2 linked regions of the Oreochromis niloticus genome follow. The protein of the gene in region 1 interacts with the protein of each later gene in a pairwise test. Links are inferred from orthologs where the notes say so. Each region holds a gene or a part of one and is shown in the gene's direction. Other genes may lie near its edges. The genes, in order: gtpbp3 and poly [ADP-ribose] polymerase 11.

Region 1 (11,310 bases):
CGTTGGCTTTAATGTGTGGAGTTATGGAGTTGTAAAAACGAAATAATATGATGATAATTTGTATTTTACACAGTTTAATATTCAGTGTTATTAGAAATATGTCTATTGCTGATATATTTCGGATAAGGATGGAGTTAAATAAGCGTGCACTTCTTCCCGCTCCTTTTGGATATGTAAACTGAGAATAGATGGAGTGTATTTTGCTTTATCTTCTATAGTTTTTTTCTTAAATGACTTTCTGTATATTGTTTACATCAGGGGTGTCCAACTCCTGCAGGTTTTAGACGCGTCCTTTATCTTGACCTAAATGACCTCCTCAACATGTCCTGATGGTCTCCGGAGGCCTGGTGATGAACTAATCATCTGATTCAAGTGTGCTGACCCTAAACCCTGCAGGACAGCGGCCCCCGAGGCCTGGAGTTGGACACCGCTGCTTTACATGATCAGATTAAATTGAAAAAACAAAAGAAAGCAGATCTGTTCAGTGAACAGTGTCGATAACTCCTTATGCCAGATTTAAGACTCCTTTAACAATCTGGGGAAGCTCACTTTGTTGGAACTCACAGGAATCCTTTGTAGGCAGTCTGACATTTTTCTGGCACACACAAAGATCCACTGTTTCCACAAACACACCGCCGCTGTCATCATCGACAGAAAATCATTGCAGCATTAACTGCAGTGTTTAATATCATCTGGTCGGCAGCTTGACTTTAAATGATCCCAATTTAAAGGCAAGCTGCTCGTATAAAGAGCGGGCCGTTTCATTTTATAGTCAGGCCGACGGTCTCGGGAATACTCGCAGGAAACGTCTCGCACCATCAAAAGCTGGTTCGCCAAAGCGATCAGTCAGCTGTGCGTGCGTGTGACGTAACAGGGAAAGGCTGATAAAGCTACAGCATCGCAAGCAGCAAGGTCACCCCACACAGAGGCATTTTTCCTTGACTGCTAATGCAGCTAATGTGCAGCTCAGCGCTTACACCAGAAGGCGAGGAGAGAGGGAGGAACAGGAAACACATCTCTGTGGAGCGTGCGATGAAGATCGGGGGACACAGGCGAGGAGGCAGATGCAAGAGAGACATTAAGTTCAGAGTCATTAGGCACAACGCATTGCTGTCATTATATCATACTGCACGACATTCATCAGCCCTTTCATTACGAAGCCGTGGGAGGGCACAAAAGCAGAGGCTCGTCTGCCGCTGCTGTGAAAAGCAGCTCTTCTTTTAGGAAGTTCAGTGGGATGCTTTCCCCTCACGCTGCTGTATTTAAAGCAACCTGTGTGACACTCAACCTGACTAAATCTGTCTGAGGTAAAGCTGAGGCATTCAACTCGCTGAAGAGGCGAGAGAGAGCCGGAGATACAGCGAGAGCGGCGCTCTGGCATAGAGTGTACGGCTGACTGCTTAATATGTTGTTCTCATGAGGACGAGGCCAGACAAGTTTACAGGGATAGAAATGGGCCGCTCCAGTCTCCCCACTGGATCAGACTAGAGTTTCAGATAAAGCAGGGGTCCAAGAATGGTTTCGGACTATCACCTGTGAACTTACTGTCAAATGTATTTCGATTTTACATCAGATAAATGATCACACGGGTTTTCCTGTCATCACAAAGTTACATTTATCTTTATTCCCAAATTCTGGGCTAGTTTATAAAAAAAAAACCTTCCACATTTACAATCCACTAACTGGTGTTTGGGGTCAAAAGAAGCTTTTAACAGCACCATGAAAAAAGTGAACCATTATCAGTGCAGGAATAACCTCAGCGCATACGTGTCCTTAATCCTAAACCACAAATTGCATGGCCTAATTTCCATAACAAATCTTATCAACACTGGCCTCAGAGGGAACACAAACTAATTGGTGAGGCGTTAACGTTGGGGCCTAATTAATCCTTGAAACGCGGGCTTTTGAGTTTTGAGGCTACAAAGGAGGATGGCTGCGAGGATCAAAGTCATGCCAGACTACTGCGGTGGGAGAGATTAGCAAAATACGGTGGAGGCACGGAGACAATGGAGCATCCGAGCCTTTCGGTTCCAGAGCGCAACCAAGACCTCAGCTGCACGAAGAAGTCACCCTGCCCTTGTGCTTTGCTCGCTGACTGACACTGACACGTGCGGGGGCGTTATGTGATATCGTAGTAATGCCACTGAAGTCCCAGAGCCTCTTTTTCATAACCCATGCAGGAGAACAGACACAGGAAGGAGTTACAGTCACTGCTGCAGTAACTACTGATAGCTGGATAGCGGGTTGTTGTTTTTATTTCATAGTTTGTGACAGATGTGGGTGATTATGAGTTTAGTAAGCATGCATGTTGTTTATGCATGACAGTGACCAAACTAAAGGAGAAGGTTAGGACAAAAAATGTAGCTGATTCCCTAAAAACACAGTAGCTGTTGCAGGGGTGTCCAACTCCAGGCTTCGAGGGCCGGTGTCCTGCAGGTTTTAGATCTCACCCTGGGTCAGCACACCTGAATCACATGATTAGTTCGTTACCAGGCCTCTGGAGAACTTCAGGACATGTTGATGAGGTAATTCAGCCATTTAAATCAGCTGTGTTGGATCAAGGACACATCTAAAACCTGCAGGACACCGGCCCTCGAGGCCTGGAGCTGGACACCCCTGAGCTATTGGCTGCATGGTTTTCCCTTTGTTTATGTAATTAACAAGTATTTATTATAAGTAAATGGGGCAGGTCACTCCAAAATCTTATAGTTATTTCAACTTTTATATAAAAATAGGAGAACAAAATGGCAAATCTGCAGAAAAATACATTTGAAACTCTGCAGCAGTGTCTCTTTTCAGAAATCCTGACCCAGTTACTCAAAAACAATACACAAACCTTTACGTAGGAACTATTTTCTCTCACCTAACAGCCGATGGAAGCTTGCAGCTCAAATTTAAGCTCAGCTTAGGGGAACAGCATTAATGTTTACATCGTGTCACACTGCCATGAGCGCGAGCCTCTCGTCACGGGTGAAGGCACTCTTGCTTCTGCACGGCGATACAGTTCACATTCTCGAATATGGCTCCATCATATTTAAGGGAAAGCACACATGTCTGATAACTCCAACACTGGGAGCTCACAGCAGCACAGCTCAGAGGAAAAACATTGGATTTCGTGGTGAACTACCCCTTTAAGAACTGCTTCATGGAAACGTCACTGCATCATTTCATCATCGCTGCTATCTGTGAAACAGTCTTCATTCACTGAACGACTGCAGGTGTAATAGTAGAGCCAGATGTGCTGTGAAAATCCTCACATTTCCCACTATTTGCTTCTCTACATGCATGTTTCTGTAATGCTGGGGAAACTATTACACTAAAGTATCTGTTTTCATGTAGATTCCCACACTGTAGATGGTTTTGAAGTTTAACCATCCATCTATGTTCTTATGCTTATTTAATTCAGGCTTGAAGAGGATGGGCCAGGAGCCAGAGCCTATTCCAGCTCGCTGGACAGGTCACCAATCTGTCAGAGGCAGAAAACCATCCATGCTCACGTACTGAGATTCACCAATCCCCCTGTTTGTGCTGGAGTACCCAGAGAGAGCCGATGGGGGAGAATGTGCAAACAAAACCAAACAAACCTGGATTCAAACCCAGCACCTTCTTAAGTGAGGCAACAGTGCTAACCACCTCACCACCTGCCACACATGTTGATGTTTATTTCTACACATAAGATTCTCGAGCACAGATGAGAACAATAAACATCTCCGAGCCTATGTCACAGAAACCTTTGGAAGCATTATGTCTGGCGTACAGCTAATATAAAACCTCTTTTAGTTACTGTCCCTGCACTGTGGGAAGCACGGGGACTTTCTATAATCTCATTTCTTCTCTTATTAAACTTAATAAACATATAGAGTCAAACAAAACCAACATCTGAATAAAACTGTGATTCCTCTGACTGATCTGAAGATTAACAACACAGTGTTAGAAGTCTGATCAAGCATTCAATGCTAGCTTTCTGTACAGCTCTGCATACTTGATACTATTTAGATTTGTCCCACACATGTTTGTAGACGGCCTCTAGTTAAAGCCCTAGTCTCTTCTCTTTGCCCCGGCACTGCCTCTAGCTTGTCGAACCACCGTAAAGTTGAACTCATCTCCATTTCACCGGCCCTCCAACAGCCTGTAACCCATTCAAGGACCACTGGGTGCCACCCTCTCAACTGGATGACAGGTTGCTCTTCCATTCGGCAGCTGCCTGCTCAGGTTACCTCGACCAAGAGTGGAAAGAAGGTCTCATCTGCTGACAGCCCACTGCTCCACTGCATCACTCTGCAGCAGTACTCACAGGAGGCACGGAGGCTGTCTCTGCACCCCGCATGCAGGAAAACAATCCTGCCTTGGCAGCTGAGGCTCCCTGTCCCAGCTAATATTGTGGTCTGATCCAAAAATAGCCTCACTTGTAAATCTTGCAAAGAGACAACTAAGATATGGGCTGTTCAAATCCACTGTCAGAGGCACGGAGTATTAACATGAAGCAGGTTGATTCTGTTTATCCTTTGTAAATAAAAAGGAGGGAAAAGTCGATTTTATGATTTTTATTTTCTTGCAGCCTCCAATACAAGAACAGCACCGGAGACCAAAATACAATTAAATGTGAGGAGGTGTGAACCAAGAAAAAAGCAAACACTACGATCTTAAAGCAGATTAAACAGGCACCTGTCCTCGAGTCTGTCCAATAGCATGGAAACTGGCACTGAGGAAATAACGGTGCGCGACGCTGTGTGCAATAGTGCGGTCCACCTGCAATAGTTCGGAAATGCCGAGTAAAGTGATCTCGAAGGTAAACAACCTTAAACCTTGACAAGAGAGGACCCCCTTAAATAAAAATAGGCTAACTATCAGCCAATCAAGGCCGCATGTGAGGACAGTATGGACAACAACAGCTGCCCAGAGGGAACAAATGGGCTCATAACAGGAGGCAGGCTAATGGGCTAAACAAACAATAACCGACCAGAAGGTCATAACTCGGATGTGCCAAAGTGGCCATTTTTCCTGAACACCTTTTATCACATCAGTGATTTTTGGAAACAGCACGAAATGCAAGTCAGAGCCATCGTTTACAGGCCTGCTGCCTGACCAGGTGTTGATTTTGGGACGCCCTCGTGGAGACAAAAGAACCGTGCCACCGCGAGGTGCGCGACGGCAGTGCGCCTCTTGTCTCGTTTTCCAACAGCGTCGCGTTCACCTGTCCTTCCCTCCGCCTCCTCTCACTCACCCAGCACGCCGGAGGAGGTCTGTGGCGGAGCCGAGCCCGGATCCGGCCTCTCTGCGTCTCCTTGCGGCGCTCGGTGTCGGTGCCGGGAGCTCTCGGGGCCGTCCCCGGAGGTGGTCGCGCCACCGGCGGCCGCCCCGGCTGCAGCAGCGCCCGCCGCTGCCGTCCCCGTGTCGGGCATGCTCTCTATCAGCGAGGAGCGACTGAGGATGAAGGTATTCTCCGGGAAATCGTGCAGCGGTGTCGCATCTCAAGAGGAGGGCAAAGCATGGGTGTAGCGTAGGGGCCGGTGGGGGGTCAGAGTGGGGGTTAAATGAGAATGAAAGTGAAGTGAAGGTTGTCGGCGTTGGCGCAGCGGCGGATCATCCTGGTGGTACTCTGGAGCAGGATGCGCGGTTAGATGGAGAGCGCTCCTCCAACCACTACAGGAGGAGGGACAAAGAGAGGGAGGGAGGAAGGGAGGGATGGATGGAGGGGGCTGTGTGACACACATGCACCTTCACGGTCGATGACTGATTTAGCGACTGATTGTTGTCTCAGGTTGCATTAGCAAAACTGTTAAATGTAACAAAGCCGCACCACGCACACTGTAGGAATTTAAAAATCTATGCATGCATGTAGTAGCGGTTCCTCCATCTCTGAGAGAAATGTATTTTTATCACCTCGCAGGCTGCAGATCGAGGACAAAAATAGAATCCAAATGGCTACATTAAAGGAAAACTCATTCAAAATGCATGGTTTTCACAGTGATGACATTACTTTACAGGCAAGATGCCCATTCAGATGATCTTTTAATGTGCACGCCTTTGATAATCCTTTCATAGACTATCACTCTTCTTTGAGTATGACCGGAAAACTGAATAGGCTGTGCAAAAAATATCTTCATGGATTCAATTTTTAGTGACACTTGGGTGTGGCTACCGGTAATATCGCTTCTCAGTCAAACACTCTACAGTAAACACAGCGTGGAGCTGTGCAATGTTTGCTTTCCTGCATAATAAGCTTGGTCATTCCATCACTGTATCGCTATAATAAGGCCAGTTTACATGGTCACACTGTCTTGAAAAGAGAGCAAAGAGCAGTCCTCCACCCTAAAGAGACACACATCCCTCAAAATAAATGTTGTTACAGCAGAGCGAGTCAGATGGTCCTCTGCAGGTAAAATATGTGCTTTGTCTTTAATTACTGTGTTTGCCCCTTTTTCAACCTGTGGGGGAGTTGCTAAAGCAAATGTTAGGAGTGCTTGTGTGTGCAAGGAAGGTGAACACAGCTATCGTTGTAGACAAAGATCATTTCATAACCTTGAATCATAATCGGGGCTGAGAGGTAACTGTCTCTGTTTGGACTGTATTCTGCAGCTGTGAGGTGGCAGCTGTCATGCTCTGTGCATACACTGAGCAGTCTATAAATTATTTAGATCCCAGGTTAAAGATTGCTCCCAGGCCTCGGGCCATGCCTCTTCACCGTGTACACAATCTATCATCTTGGTCGTCCCTCCTGGAGGCCGTGTTTCACTGTGCGGCTACAGAGGCAGGCTGGCAGCCCGCCCCCTCGTATGGAGCATCTCATCTGTGAGCACAAATTCTGCTTACTCACCACTCTGGGATGACAGCTGCAAGACGCTGCAGTGGGGCGCACACACACACACACACACACACACACACACACACACACACACGCACACACACACACACACTGATGCACAGAATATAAACAGATGCTCTGTTTATATTCTGTTACATGCACGCATTTATGTAGTATATGAAGAACCACAGATCAAATCACTGTTAGTTTTAATAAACACAGAACGCAATCTAAACAAATACTGTAAAACTTATCATTTAAAAATAAATTAAAAATAGTAGTGCTGTAAGAATAACCCTGTTTGCACTGCTGTTGATTCTCACACACTAAGCGATATTTTCCACCTTGTGCTGAAAAAACCAAAACTTGACTGCTAATTTGTGTCCTCAATAACATGTGCATTCTGCATAATGTGCCAGAGGTATTTCCCCCAGTCTTCGGTGATTTGATAAGAAAATTGGCAGTAAAACAAACTCTGGTCTGTCCTGAACTGAATTTTACAGCCTCCTTTTTTCCATATACTAACCACAAAACAAAGGTGACAGACATGTTGGCACGGACATCGCACAAACAGTAGATCCTTTGACAGCAGGTGCATCACTGAGTTAATCATTTGAGTTCATGTAAACATAAGTAAAACATTAAATAGTAGTGATAAAAAGTGAAATGTTTATAGCCCCAATAATAATGATATTAGTTATATACACAAAAAGTAAAACATTGGAATTTGCAGCAGGGATCGATGTACACCAATGACAGTGTTAATGAATCGTTTTGTGGCCTAAATCACATAAAATCCCTTTATATTAGAGGAAGATTTGTAAACATCACAACACAATTTCAAGTTAAACAACGAGTCATTTTCATGCTTTATTTCATGCAACGCTACTTTTGTGGGGGACAAAAGATTACTGTCAAACAGATTCCTTCCATAAAATAACCAAAATTTTATTTTTACATTTTTAAACGGATGTATTTGTTTAACGTGATATAAAACAACAAAAAAGGCTGAAAATCAGACCTATGATCCCGGAACCGATCATATTTGAAATAGTCACACGGACCGAATTTTCAGCGTACGATAGGCGTGGCTTATGCTAGATTGACAAGCGTTGAACAAACGGGAGAGCTTAATCTGCTGTCGTTAGGAGAAACGGTAACCAATCGGAATCAAGAGTGGGAGGAGCTACTTAAATGTGACTGAAAGATGGGAAGGACAAATCACGAGCGGGATGAGTTTGTAAATTACGAACATTATACTTTAATATAACAGAAGATAAGACGCAAATGATTGAATGTTCGGATTTGGCAGCTAACATTAGCTTCACAGACACTCCGACGTTAACTGAAAAGAAGCAAAGTGGAAATAATGTGTTGGGTGTCAGTCTGTATGAGAAGCAGCAAATAAATGAAACGTTTGGTGTCTCATAATCATGCTGCCGCTGCGGTCCGTGTGTGGTGGGATATGGAGAGCTGCTGTGCACACAGTCAGGACGAGGTTTGTTCTGTTTCCCGGCCTCTATGTCAAATTCATGTCTTTATTTTTATGGCTGCATTCACTGAAGCAAAATAGTGCTGTTAAAATATAGTTACATTGATTTCTTTGGGCACTTTCCATTATTTATCCACACTTTTACCCACACAAGTTTAATGCTCGTTGTTACACTGACTTAACTTGCAGTGTTGTTTATTTAAGTGCTTATTTATTACTTTGATTTTGAGTTTAAATAATACAATAGAGGTATAATAACTGAAAACAAGATGTACAATATGTTATAGTATGAATCAGTCATTTTCTTATTTCCAGCCGTGGAGCTCCACCCTACAGGCTCCTCTCCTCTACCTGTGATGGAGCCCCGGCTGCACTGGCTGATGCTGACACCATCTTTGCGCTGTCGTCCGGGCACGGCAGGTGTGGGGTGGCAGTGGTACGTGTCAGTGGTCCCGCCTCAGCTACGGCCCTGAGGTGTATGGCTGGGTTCACGCAGCGTCTGCCCCCTCCACGCACCGCCCTGTTACGCAGCATCACAGACCCCCGCTCCACAGAAGTGCTGGACCGTGGGCTCGTCCTGTGGTTCCCAGGTCAGTTCCACTGGACCGTTCTTACATTTTGTTCTTCTCTTTTTTGTCTGAGAATATGAGGATGTGGATATGTTTTTGTTTAGAAGCACATAAGTTACATTCATGTCCAAAGTTGTATCAGCATGTCCCAGATATGTAGACAGACTCGTACTTAGTTATGGTAAAAAAGGAAGTATTCCCTCAGCCAGTGTTATTGTTTTACATATCAGTACACAATATAAAAATGATGTCGTGTTTGGCAGGTAATAAAAGTAGGTAAATACAACCTGAGATGAATATTGCCGTTTGATGTATTACACAGTGTCATTATTCCTCAGGCAGGGACCACACCTCAGTTCTGATTAAACAGTGCTTATTGAAACAGGATGATGGATGGAGTGAGCACAGATCTTGATTGATGCTGCGGTTTGGGGAAGGCCTCAGAGAGGATCAGCAGTTTCTCCTGAGTCCTGGGTACCAGGAAGCAGTGTGTGAAAAACTAACTACACTCCATGATTCAGGAACTAGTAGAACCACATTTAGCAGCAATAGCTTGAAGTATTGTTGTGGAGGAATGTAGGCTCACTCTTCTTTTCAAATGTGCTTCAGTTCACTGATGTTTGTGGGTATTTATTAAGCCACAGCTCTCTTAAGGTCCCAGCATCTCAGTCACGCTCAGGTCTGGACCATCGCAGCACCTTGATTCTTTTATAGCCATTGTGTTGTCGGTTTACTGCTGTGCTCGGGATCTTTGTCCTTATGCAGGACCTAATTTGGCCAAGGTTTAGCTCTTTGATAGACTTTTGACTCCAGAAGACTTTAGCGTACAGAGGAGTTCATGCTCGACTCCGGGACTGCAAAGTGGCCACACTCTGTGGCCAAACCTTCATCACTCCAACACTGTGCTGAAGTGTTTGTGCTAAGATGCTGTGTTTCTCCACTTTGGTCTCATCTGCCTAAAGCACATTGCTACAGAAGGCTTGTGATTTGCTCAGATGCAGCCATGCAAACCGAACATGCTAACTGAGGCCTGCAGAGTCTGAGACGTAGTTCTTTGTTTCGTTTTTTCCCCCCATTTCTCTGAGCACGATCTGAGCTTGGAGTGACTTTGGTGGAAGGTCTACGCCTGAGAAGTCTAGTATCTGCCTCAAATGTTTTTCCACTCGTGAAATAAGGTTTTTTCACTGCATTGTTTGGAAACGGTGGAAATAGAGCGGTGCGCTGCTTTAAAAGTGGGACACATTCTCTAAACAACATTACAGAGTTTGGTAAAACCACATCATTTCTCACTAACATTTAAAGTCAGTAACCCACAAGTGAGGGCTGCTGTGTTTTATCTAAAACCAGTAATAAATCTTTCCAGCATGTCACGTCCTGCCTGTTATTCACTTCATTTCTCTTTACTATGTAAATAGCTAAAGGACCCACAGAGTGTTGTTATTCCTTTGTTTGTTTCATCAGCTCCTCGTAGTTTCTCCGGAGAAGATAGTGTGGAGTTCCATATCCACGGAGGTCCCGCAGTCATTACTGCTGTCTTACAGGCTCTTGGTAAGATGCGATTCTCAGTATAATGTTTTCAACAACTTGATATAATTCAATGTGACAAGCAAACATATGCAGACTTGAGATGCAGCGCTCCCTTTGAAGAGCGTTTTGAAGTTTGAGTCTTTGTAGCTTCCTGAGCTCTAAGCCTCCGTAAGTACGATATCTGTTGGAGTCAGGCGGCTATCCATCACTGCGACTTAAAACAGAGAACTGACGCATGCATCGGCGTGTCTGAGATACTTTTAATATGCGCTGTGGCAAGCGTGACCATCCTTCTGTGCTTGATGTTTTTACTGCAGTTCTCCTGTTGACCTCCCAGGGGGCAGCATTGTATAAAGCAGAGAGTCAGTCTATGCGCTGTAAGGTGTTTTTCTAAGCAGGGAGGAATATTTAATATTACATTACCTTTGTTTTCAAGGTTCATTCAGATAAAATTGTTGCCTTTGTTTGGAAACCAAAAACACTGAGATTGTCGGCGAGATCAGTCGGGTAAAATGTCTCTAATCAGGAGACGGTGACCCACGTTTGCCAAATGGTTTTGCACTCACTATTGTCTCTCCTGATGAGATTTGCAAAGTGTCTGAGAAAACAATGAACCCATAACCTACTTAACCTGTAGTTGTGCCTGTTTTTGCTCTCTACGTGAGTCATTGACCTTGTGTTTTGTCCTCCGTGTGTGCATTGTGTGCACGATGCATGCCTACCTCGTGTCTCATACATTTCTTCGTGTTTGTGTTTACGTGTGTTTTTCAGGAAGCGTGCCTGGCTTGAGGCCGGCCGAAGCGGGGGAGTTCACGCGGAGAGCTTTTCAAGCAGGGAAACTCGGTTTAACGGAGGCGAGTCGAGAGGAATGTGTAAAACACATTGTTGTGCATCTAGAGTTATTATAGCGGCCTGTT
Region 2 (11,290 bases), about 10 Mb from region 1:
ATTAAGATAACAGTCACAAATACTCAGATATCACACAAGCAAGCTAAAAGTGCTGACTGACAGCTTGTGCTGCCTTTTTAATAGGGAAGGGTTTATAAGCTACATGTTTTTGCAGACTGAGAATCCCTTCTTACCCACCGACCAAACGAGAAAAATGTAACACATCGCTTTGCACACCATTATAAAGCTTTAACAGGGACAGCTTTAACAGCTGATATCCTCCACGTTAAGGAAATGCTTACCTTTCCAGTTGTTTTGATTCCCTTCCAGATGCAGAAGTAACATATGATCCAGGCAAACATAAGACACAGAGCCAGATCCCAATGTATCTTACCCAAAGACATGTTTTCTGATATTCTTAACACACGGTTACTATGAAAAAAAGAGACATGTAAGAACACATGAACACATGCATGCTCTCCAAATGCTGATGAATGCTCCCTAAAACCCCCATTCTTAAAATCTTCTCCCACTGCAAATAAACAGATCCTCATATATACGTCAAAAGAACAGCACTAAGCATCTCAACATGAATACAGATGTTGAAACTGCTCCCTGTTTATTTTGGATGGATACGGTTTACATTATAAATGGGCACAGCAAAGAGCACATATTGTTTTCATTATGGAGCACAGTTGTAGTGCTGAGCGATTTCCCAATATTTGTTCTCACACAAAATCAGGAGGTTATCATGTGAAAAGAGACAGCCATGTTTCAACATGTCTAAAAGAGAGAGGAGCAAACAACTTTGAATGAGAGTTGGAAGTTCAATAAAAATGCTATTATTCAGTGCTATTATGTCTTTTTAGGAATGTAACTGGCTGCTTGCTTTATTTGGGTGGCCTCGGTTCACCTTCTGTTGGCTCACTATTCACACCGTGTTTTCTAACTTACAATTATCTTTTGATATCTGGGAAGCATTGAAAGCTATTGCTGAGGAATTTTCCACCCAAAGACAAGCTAAATAGGGAGGGTGACTGTCCAGCTCTTCTAATGTTCAAGGAAAATAAAGCAATGAGTGAGTTTCTAACCTCCAGAACTCCTCTTCTGGTGACGTGCTCATCAATATTGTTTCATTGCTGGAAAGAAAAAAAAAACAAGTGTATAAGGAGGGGTGAAATTAAACACTAATTTCAAATAGTCCTTTAACAATCTAACAGTTTCATAAAGACCACAAACACGTTTATTTTCATAGTAAATGTGTTTTTAATTTTAAGTGGATCTTATGTACTCATTTTTGGCTTCAGATTTTTATTGTTCAACTCTACTAGAGTAGCTTTGCCTGATTCGCAGTTTGAAATAATCCATATTTATCATAATGGGACTTGTTAAAGGCCTTTACTTCATCCTAACAAACAAACAAAATGTTTGAGTTATTCTTGCTGTAATCGGAAATCTAATCAAAAACTAAGAATATAATTATTAAAATGTAATAATTCTAATGTTTAAACTTTTCAACCCACACTGTTTCTGCATGTGCGTGTGTGTGTGTGCGCACGCACTCTTTCTGTGCAGATGTGGCCTTGACCTCTGTGTGTGCATCTAAGGACCCAGCCTAAATAATTGTCTGTTGTCTGATATGTCTCAAATCGGGTGATTGCACATCACACCAGGTGGTTGGTTGTTAACGTGGGATGTTGGTTGTCTCAGAGGATGTATAAAAACCCTCTATAGATAACGATTAGGCGTTTTTTCCTCTGGCCATCGTTGAAGTGAGCAGATTAGAAGACAACTCAGTGGATTTATCCTTCTTTTTCCAACCCACTATGGATTCACTATTTTTGAGATTTGCTCTGCTTACTACCGGAATCATAGATTGGGACTTAGAGGAAGTTTTGGGAACATTGTAATGGGTTCTACCTCCTCAGAAAGAATTTCTGAAACAATTCCTCTACAGCCAGGGTGTTCTCTCTGTCCTCCACTAAAGCCTCATCAAAACTGGTAATGAGTTATTAGCAACAGTTTAGATTTCATTGTTTTATATTTTAAAATGTGTTACTTTTCTTGAAATGTTTAAAATTTAAAAGGATTTTATTCTTAATAATTGATGAGCTGATTGCTTTGCCCTTGTTAAATTGCTTAGTAAAGTATCCCATCTGAAATTAAACTTAATTATGTGGACATTCCCTTTTTGATTTTCTTTTTAAATGAAAAGGTAAAACTTGGGTATGAGTTTGAACATCTACTTTTGTGAGGTTCTTATAGGTTATTCTAGCCTTTAAGAATTAACAGATCCCTGGGCCCACCTGTCCAAGTCACCAAAGTAAATTTTGTAGCAAATTTGCTCGCAAAACTGATTGTACCTTATTCAGGGTTGGTAGTGTGGTGCATCATCTAAACTATTGTGGTACTACCCCTAGGATCAGACACTCAGACCCTTTCAATGGAGACCCAGTCCAGACTTCTGTACAGAGGTAACTGGGATCTTAACAGGCTTTAAAGGGTGAAGTGAGTTTTTGTGCACTACTGCATTGAGATCTGGTGACTGTGGAGCCCATTCAAGTACAGTGAACTCACTGGCATCTTCAAGAACCCAGTTTAGGAAAATCTGAGCTTTGTGACATGGTGTGTTATTCTGATGGAGGCGGCCATCTGAAGATGGGTACACTATGGTTACAAAGGGATGAACATTGTCAACAATCAATACTCAGTAAGGCTGTGGCATTTAACTGATGCTCAGATGGTACCAAGGGCTCCCAAGTGTGCCAAGAAAATATCAAGTTATGCCACCAACAATAGCCTGCACAGGCTCACCAAATTTGGCAAGCCTGTGCAAATTGTAACCTCCATTTCCTGTTCTCAGCTGACAGGAGTGGCACCCTGTGTGGTCTTATGCAACTGTAGCACATGTGCTTTAAGTTCAATGTGTTGTCTGTTCAAAGATGTTCTTCTGCACACTTTGGATGTAACAAGTAACAGTGTTACCATTGCCTTGCTGTCAGCTCAAAGCAGCTTGGCCATTCTCTTATAGCCTCTAGCATCAACAAGAGATAACTGCTGTAGATGTCCAGTGACAGTTCCTGTCATGTGACTGGTCTGTTATATAATTACATTAATGACCATTTAAACAGGTGTAAGTGATGAGGCATCAGTGAGGTCTATGTGTCAGAAAATAAGGAAAAATAGGTCCACTTTAGTAAGAAATATCACAAAAATGTCCAATCAAAGAGGAGTAAAGGGATATCCAAAGCAGTGCTTATAATAATGTAGAGAAGACATTGCATTAAATATACCTTAAATGTGGCACCTTTCAAACATTTGACATTAAACTAAAGCTTGACAAGTCCTTTAGATTTATTGGGTTGCTTTTCACCGTCATGTTATCCTTATATTATCCCAAGGTAGGAGAAAGTAAGCATTTCCTACCCTGAAAAACATTTACAGTACATCTGGAAAGTATTCACAGTGCTTCGCTTGTCCTTCATTTAATTATGGTACAGCCTTATTCCAAAATGAATTCAATTATTTTTTTCACTTTAAAATGCTAAACACAATACCTCATAATTGCAAAGTGAAAGCAGTTTGCTTGTAATTCTTGCAAATTTGTTAAAAACTTTTTTTTTTAAATGCCATGACATATAAAAAAATAGGCATTTTTACCTTTTTTGGACTGTGGAGCAGTGAAGATAGACAGGACAGTGGGGAGAGAGAAGGGAAGTCATGCAACAAAGAGCTGCAGGTTGTTTTGATAAATTTGTAAGAATTTCAAGCAAACTTTTTTCATTTTTTTATTATGGGGTGTCGTGTGTAGCATTTTGATGTAAAACATGACTTTACTCCTTTTTGGAATAAGGCTGTAACATAACAAAACGTGGAGCAAGTGCCATGAATGCTTTCCAGATGTTACTGTAAAGCATGGGTGCGTTCCAGAGATGCTATTGTGCTGTTTAATCCCATGATTACTATTAAGCTTTTCATAGTCAGACTCTTTTCAAGTCCACATAAAAAAATTTCAGTTGAGCAGACAGAGTGGGGACAGTTAATTTGTACAACTCAGAAAAACAAATTGCAACTTACTAAGTTGTATTCTCATAGTAGTCCATTGAGGTGACGTTGTGTAAGAATGACCAGTTGGACCCGGCCTGAAAGAGTTGGGGGTTTGCAAAGATGCTCATGCGACTGTGGCACAAGTCTCAGCGATTAAAGAAAGAGGGATAAAAGTGAGAATGTTAGCTGTTTTCTCTTAAGTCTTGAAAAAAAAATCCCTGCTTATCAAATACAGATGGGTTTAAGCAAGCATTCTTACCAGAGTTCCACCAGTTGTCACATGTAGACCAGGGCAGGGGACTTTTGAAGGAGTTTATTAGGTAGAAGATAGCCCATGCCAAAACAATAATGTAGTATATGTTCAGATAGATCACAATCACTTGGGACGCAAACCCCACCCCTAGAGGACAAGTGACATTTCAGACAGTTAAAGGACATTTTTGGCTGCTGTCTTCTTTTCTTTTATGACAAGAAGACAGAAACATTATACAAAAGCAATTCCCAGCACCATGCACGGTCAATAAATCCTCTGTTTTATGTAATTAAGTTAGATAACACCTTAGTCAGCTACTGGATCTGAAGCTTGGAAATATAGACTTAGCCTTGTATATGTGACTTTCTTTACTGCTAACTGCTACACTATTGTTTTTGCAATTTCCATGAAGAAAGCGCTGTCAGAAATATGCAGTTCCTAAATGTGAGCCTTATTTTTACCCTGAAACATGGGACATATTTTCCTCCAGGCAGTCACCCCACCCTCACTGGTGTACTGTCCCAGCGCTGTCTCCAAGAAAAACACGGGGATGCCACAGAAGAAGAGGAACACGCAGTAGGGGATGAGGAAGACACCTAAAATTATAGACACAAACTATTTCATCAGCAAGTGGGTTTCTTTTTTTGTTTTGTTTCGTTTTTTGTTTTTTAATGAAGGCCCTCCTAATCCTTATCTATTAGTTGAATGTTTCCATCAGAAAAACTCTCCCACAAACCCAACCTCTCACCTCCTCCGTTCTTGAAGCACAGGTAGGGGAACCGCCAAACATTTCCGAGGCCAATTATTTCACCAGCCATAGAGAGTATGAACTCCATGTTGTTGGCCCATTTTTCCCTCGACAGAGCCCCTTCCTCAGGAGCCTGTTTATCTGCCTCAGAGTCTGCAGCAGGAACATTCCCGGTTGTTTCCTCAGTCATGGTCTTTCTGTCTTTTGTACAGCATTTAAATAAATATCATGGCATACCTGTTATATTCTCCCCCAGCTCGTTCTTGCATGCATGCAATTATAAATCATGAGCGTTGTAATTTAACTGATGAGCCTCACATTCGCCCTAATAAAGCTTACTAAAGAGATAAAGGCACAAAAATAGCATTTAATTGTTTCCTCCAGTTTCACATGGAGATTTGAATTGATGCAACTTACCAGTGAGCTTGCAGCGAGCGCCACAGTGAAATTCCTCGACTGTATGAGCGAAGTTTGCAGAAAAGTTTCATTCTATTGAGGGGTGTGTCCTGAAGGACAAGTAGCCACACACGCTCTGGATGTGCCATCCCTACGAAAATGCTCGTGGATTTTACTCAAACGTCTCAACAACATGCACACAAAAGCCATCTCAGTGCAGTGTGTTATGCACAAGTAATTGCAGAAATTGCACTTATTGTCGTCAGATGGAATAAAATTATGCACGATTGTGTATTATCGTAGAATAATGATATTAGCGTAAGCTATGTATGTTTGGACCCTAACTTCTAGCGGCCTTAATTATGCTGCTATAAACTGCCTAGGGTACCATGATTATCAACATCGACACAGCTTTTAGGAATTAATTTTATAACATGCAAATTCTTCCACCATATATATATGTGTAGTAGCTGGTTGTACGTTGCATGTACGTATGCGTTGTTGTTATGTTGTCTGTGTTATCGTCTGTACATAACTGCTAGTCAAACAGTAAAGTTAATAATGCCGGACTTTGAATATGCAGCTTGAGTAGAAGAAAAATACGAAATATATGTATGTATTATTCATTCCTCTGGTTTTTATGAACAGTTTCTTTTGTCATCTGTGCCATCTACACAGTGATGTGTAATACACTAAAAAAAACATGTCAGCGTTTTAATAGGCTACATGAGCTAAGCGAACAAGCACAGTCCGAAATGATAACAAGGGTGCTAATGTTTGAAAAGTATTAATTATAAATTGGTTCTGTAGTGTACGAGACAATCAGGTGCCAAGAAAAAATAATGCTTTGATGGTTTGAGTATACATGGCAAAAATAATAATTGCCGTCATTATTTAGCTTACCTAATACCCAATTTATTTGTTTTATTGACTGCACTGAAAAACAAATAAGTCAAAAATGACAGGTTGAGCTAATTATTACCCCCGATTTTTAGATTATTACAGCGACGTTTCGATTTTTTTATTTTTGTTTTATTTTTTTTAGGGAGGGGGGGTAATGACTTTAGTAAGTAAGTTTCCATACATTCCTCTTAATTTATTTTATTTATTTATTTATTTTACCGCGTCTGTAACTTTAAAACACCTGAGCCGTATCACATTGCACAGTATTGCACCGGTAGTGCGCCTGTCAGGACAAACTCCGGGAAACAGTGTCCCGTTGTCAAGGAGGGAGGAGTTACATGACGTCTACGCTTTGACGTGGAGTGTATGACGAACGGGGAAATAAAAGTAAACAACGCCTAGGATAACGAAAATGGTTTTCGTCAGTCCCCCAAGCTTAGACGGAACCTGTGATTTTTCTGAGGCTTTGTTGATCATGTATGAAGGCTTTGTTTTCCGATAAGGACAGAGGCAGGCTGAAAACTGGTAAGACACCAGTAGAGTTGAGATGAGTCGGGTGCGGCATCCGCTAATGATAGCTTAGTTCAACATGGCAGTTTCCTGTATTGTATGAAATTGTTTACAGGATGTAATGCTCTCACGACCGTTGCTAAAAACAAGTCCTCAACGTCAGGACTGTCTGACGACCAAAACACCACCTTAGGCCCTCCCCCATACTTTCTTGTATTTTAGTTGCTATTTGCCTAAGTGTGTTGGCGTGTTTTCACTTATTAATTTCAGATTTAGCTATGTTAGCCATCAGATCGTCAGAGGAGGAGTCCACTGAGATTGAGGAGATGGACACCTCAGAGCCCAACTGGTGCTGGTTCTACTTGGCTGAGTGTGGAGTGTGGCATATGTTTGAGGTAGTTCACATGATACCACAACTTTATACACAATAGCAGACTTTGTAACTGGCTTTACTCTGTATGCCCAGCATATCGCCCCTCCTTTGGTCGTATTTTGCCAGACTCTGCAGGTTTTTATTCCCCCCTTTAGCTCATCATCAATACATTTATAGGAAAAAGAAAGGGAAAAAAAACAAAACATTGCCTTGGGTTGATTATAGGGAGGCACAAAAATGGCCATCATGTGCCAGCAAACTGCCATTCTCATTTCCAAACACTACTTAGGTTATGTGTTAAACTGCAATTAAAAGGAATTTAACAATGATGCATCAAAAATCCATGAACACATTTAAAATGTGTTTTCCTGGTTTATCAGTTTCTGACAGCGAGTTACACTCAGCTGTCTTATTTATCCCACCAGTAGCTCAAACCACCAAATATATAAGTGTCGATTTATAAGATGAGCTTTAAGTCAAACCAAAAAATTGATGTTTTTTCAGATAAATTTTAAGCCTTTGACCTAAATAAAGAATCAAGTCTCTTAACTAAGTGTTAATTAACTGATTGGCTGGTTAACTCTTATTTTCCTTTTATTTCCCTGTCAGATTGATCCCAGTGCAGCCTGCTCTGTGACCAGCGCTCAGATTGAGCAGTGCTACAACAGGAACCAGCGTGGTGTGATGGAGTTTTACACAGCCAAGTACACATACAGACTGGACTTCTCAGGTGCAAACTCATGAGTTAATTAAAGTAATTCTAAAGGTACTTTATCCAGGCTGAGAGTGTTAAAGCTTCTTTAAAGGAAATCACGTCACATCAGTTCTATACTGAGGATGAGTTAGTTTTTCTGTTGTTTATTTTGTTAAAGAAATTGCACATGAACACTTAATTGTCATTAAATCCCCAAACAGTTATGCGACAGATAAATGTAACAACAGGAAAGCAACGGCCGATCAAACGCTCCCTCCACTCTGCAACTGGATTTAGGTAAGATTTGATGGTTTGAGTGTACATCCAGAGAGCCTTTTTATATTTTGGTTTTATTTACTTGCTATCACGGAAAAGTTATGTTAAAGGGGTTTAAGAAGACCATGTATTAAATGGAAGTTTAGGGGTCAAGCATCTCTTGTCCTTAAAATCCTGGAAATGAAATTAACAAAAGAAAAGAGAACAATTGCCTTTTGCCCCCCTTTTTTTCTTTTTTCTTTTTTTTGCAAGCGTTGAATTATTTTTGTGTCTGAGCATAAAGCAAACACATCCATTCTCATTCTGATGCAGTGATTTGTTTACTGACTCTTCTCCTTTGTTGATCCTCTCAGGTTTATTTGTGATAATCTCGCTTTGCCTGTTCCCTGTCACTGGGAGAGAATAAACACAGATGAGCCCTATCAGGTGAGTACAGAAGTACGGAAACACATATTATTGTTCCTCTTAGCTTGGTTCACACATTTTTAGTATTGAGATGATACCTTTATGTTCTTCTGATTTCTGATGTAAAAATAGTGACAAACATGGAATAAAAGGTTATGCAGTTGCTACAGAAGCACTGAGACTCTTACACTTCGTTATGCTTTATTTTCAAAAATCAAAGACATGGACTTGGGGTTCTTACAAAAACAGTGCAGACTGGTCAAAACATTTAGAAGGGTGTGCATGTGATTGTATGCAGTGTTTTGTCAGTCCAGAAGTTCCCAACTTTGTTCAGCCTGAGGTCAAACATTTGCAAATGAGAGAGAAAAAGAGGAAAATATATATATAGATATATATCTATATTTGAAACACACTGCAGAAAAAGGTAGAGTTATGTGAGTGTTTCTTGCCTTTGCAGCTCATCCAGCTTGGCAGAGACACATATGAATTTAAAGAAGTAGCCAGACTGTATGAAAGAACAATGGATCATCCAATTAAATCCATCCAGAGGATCCAGAACCTGGATTTATGGGAGTTCTTCTGCAGGTAGAATATTATTTTCTACATTTTTGTGAGGAAAAATGTTTCATTGTACGTACTGCCTTAATTATACTTCATTGCATTCCATTAGTGACACTGGGAAAAATGTAAATTCTAGTTTTCCCAAATTTCCATTAAAGATGCTGGCTTTTTTCTTAGCATAAATTAAAGAATTGAACTGAATTCCATGAATCCACCCCTTTTAGCCGACGTCTTCTTCAAGCTCGTCTCCTGTGCACAATGTGCACTTGTGCTACTTCTAGATCGCTTCGTGGAAATTTCCAGTATGCATCTGTAATTCACACTGGATCACCTGCACTGTGTCAAAAAGGCATCTCTTCAACTTGAATGTAATTTAATTTTCATTTTATAAAGGAAAACAAAGTCTGTTGAATAGGGCAAAGGAAGTAAAACTCCTGCCTTTACAGTGCTGGCTGTGTGGGCATGCAGTGGCATGTTGGCAACTGCTACAGTTCAGGGTGTTTGTGCCAAATTTTTTCTCAAAAATGTCCCAGAAATGTAATGCCAGTTTGACCCCGTGGGACGAATTCACAATGCACTTGTAAGTTTATGTGGTTGAACAAATTAATTCACTAAAAGGCGTCAGTTTATACATATACCTCTTATTTTTATTTATTTATTTTTTTATTACTATGTGCATATTAGTATTGTACAGCACTTTGGTCTACCAGGTGTGTTTTTAAAGTGCTATATAAATAAATGATGATGATGATGATGATGATGATGATGATGAAAACGCTTTGTGATTGGGAAGTTTCTGAGCTGGCTGCTCATTCCGGCCTTCTGAAAAGGCAGAGGACTCTTTTTTTTCTGTTTGATAATAACCATTCAGTGGAACCGGAACCTTATCCACTTCGAAGCCCACGTTTGTACATATTTTCTATACATTGTTAGATCAAGCTTACCTGTATTCCCCACGAGGTGAATATAGTGCAAGGTGACTGGGTCAGAAACAAAAGCTGTTTTCAGGTTTTTTTTCACTTGCTAGCACATCCTAACATGTCAACACACAATAAATTACTGTACTGTTGTTATTATTATTGTTCTTATTGTAAACATATTTATTGAATTTTGTATTCATAAACATCCAACACTTTTAACACCTTGAACACATGGCAGTAAGAAAGCACTAAGAACACAAGACATTCAAAAAACAAATTAAAAAATAATAATAATAATAATAATAAAAATAATATTAATAATACTAAAGGAAATTTAAAAAAATATAAAATAAAATACAAAAAAAAGTACAGGATAGTCTATACTGTATACATTCCCAAATGTAGTTGCATATTTTCATTACTTCACTCTCTCTCTCCAGTTCCTCAATGTCCCCAGTCTTTAATAGCTCCAGAAACATCTTCCAAATGTCAAAAAAGTCTTTTCCTAACCACATAGGTCAGTTTCTATTATTGTTATTGTTTTAATGGTACTTATATTGCGCCTTTCTGCTTAAAATAGTACTTAAAGCACTTTGTATTACAAGTGTCGTTCACACATACATTCATATGCCGCTTTTATCTATACCTAAGCCCTTTCTCACATTCACATTGCGACAGATGTATCAGGGTCAACTCGGGGTTCGGTATCTTGCCCGAAGATAATTCACCATGCAAACTGTAGGAGTCAAGGATCAACCAACTGGCCTTCCAAGTCAGTAGACAATGCGCTCTACCACCTGAGCCACAAGTGCTAGAGACTAGGGGCATTGGTACAAGGTATTCATCTTCACAGCTGACAGCCCACAGCCATTTCCAAACTGTTTAATGCGTGTGAATTTAGTTGAAGTTTGCTTTCTGTACTGTGTGCAAGTGGTCCAAGCAGGCCTTTCAGGAAATGATCTAAAAATAGCAGCAGTACTGGAAGTGATCTAGAGGTGCACAAGGTGAAAATCCTGAATTTCATAGATGGGGCAAAATTAAAATTTTGCTCTTCATGGGAAAAGTTGCTGAACTTTTCACTGATCAAACTTTGTACAGTCATGCAGTATCAAAGTCATTATTTGTTTTATGTTGTCATTCCTTGGTACTCCTCTAAGGAAGAAAACACAGTTGCGAAAAGTCAAGCGAACACTGGATATTGAGGAGCGAATGCTGTTTCATGGCACGGGACACAGCAATATACAAGCTATATGTACATTTAACT

What was found.
Region 2: the proteins of gtpbp3 (region 1) and poly [ADP-ribose] polymerase 11 interact in binary tests that used the Homo sapiens proteins (3 or more experiments, as listed by UniProt). The two-hybrid records come from large-scale screens. The link is inferred for Oreochromis niloticus from reciprocal best matches to the Homo sapiens genes GTPBP3 and PARP11.

Annotation. Positions count from the first base shown.
Region 1 is NC_031981.2:1,937,833-1,949,142, forward strand, and holds the start of gtpbp3 (5-taurinomethyluridine-[tRNA] synthase subunit GTPB3, mitochondrial), read left to right. Parts: upstream 1-7,141; 5' UTR 7,142-8,238; coding exon 8,239-8,303; intron 8,304-8,612; coding exon 8,613-8,887; intron 8,888-10,327; coding exon 10,328-10,414; intron 10,415-11,164; coding exon 11,165-11,247; intron 11,248-11,310. Other genes in the region: ano8b (anoctamin-8), read right to left, coding at 5,225-5,402. UniProt on the Homo sapiens protein: GTPase component of the GTPBP3-MTO1 complex that catalyzes the 5-taurinomethyluridine (taum(5)U) modification at the 34th wobble position (U34) of mitochondrial tRNAs (mt-tRNAs), which plays a role in mt-tRNA decoding and mitochondrial translation.
Region 2 is NC_031981.2:12,135,241-12,146,530, forward strand, and holds the start of poly [ADP-ribose] polymerase 11, read left to right. Parts: upstream 1-6,620; 5' UTR 6,621-6,766; coding exon 6,767-6,812; intron 6,813-7,067; coding exon 7,068-7,192; intron 7,193-7,779; coding exon 7,780-7,900; intron 7,901-8,085; coding exon 8,086-8,161; intron 8,162-8,493; coding exon 8,494-8,566; intron 8,567-9,002; coding exon 9,003-9,130; intron 9,131-11,183; coding exon 11,184-11,290. Other genes in the region: sodium- and chloride-dependent GABA transporter 2, read right to left, coding at 243-372, 1,032-1,079, 4,018-4,132, 4,247-4,387, 4,702-4,836, 4,989-5,178. UniProt on the Homo sapiens protein: Mono-ADP-ribosyltransferase that mediates mono-ADP-ribosylation of target proteins. Plays a role in nuclear envelope stability and nuclear remodeling during spermiogenesis. Inhibits the type I interferon activated signaling pathway.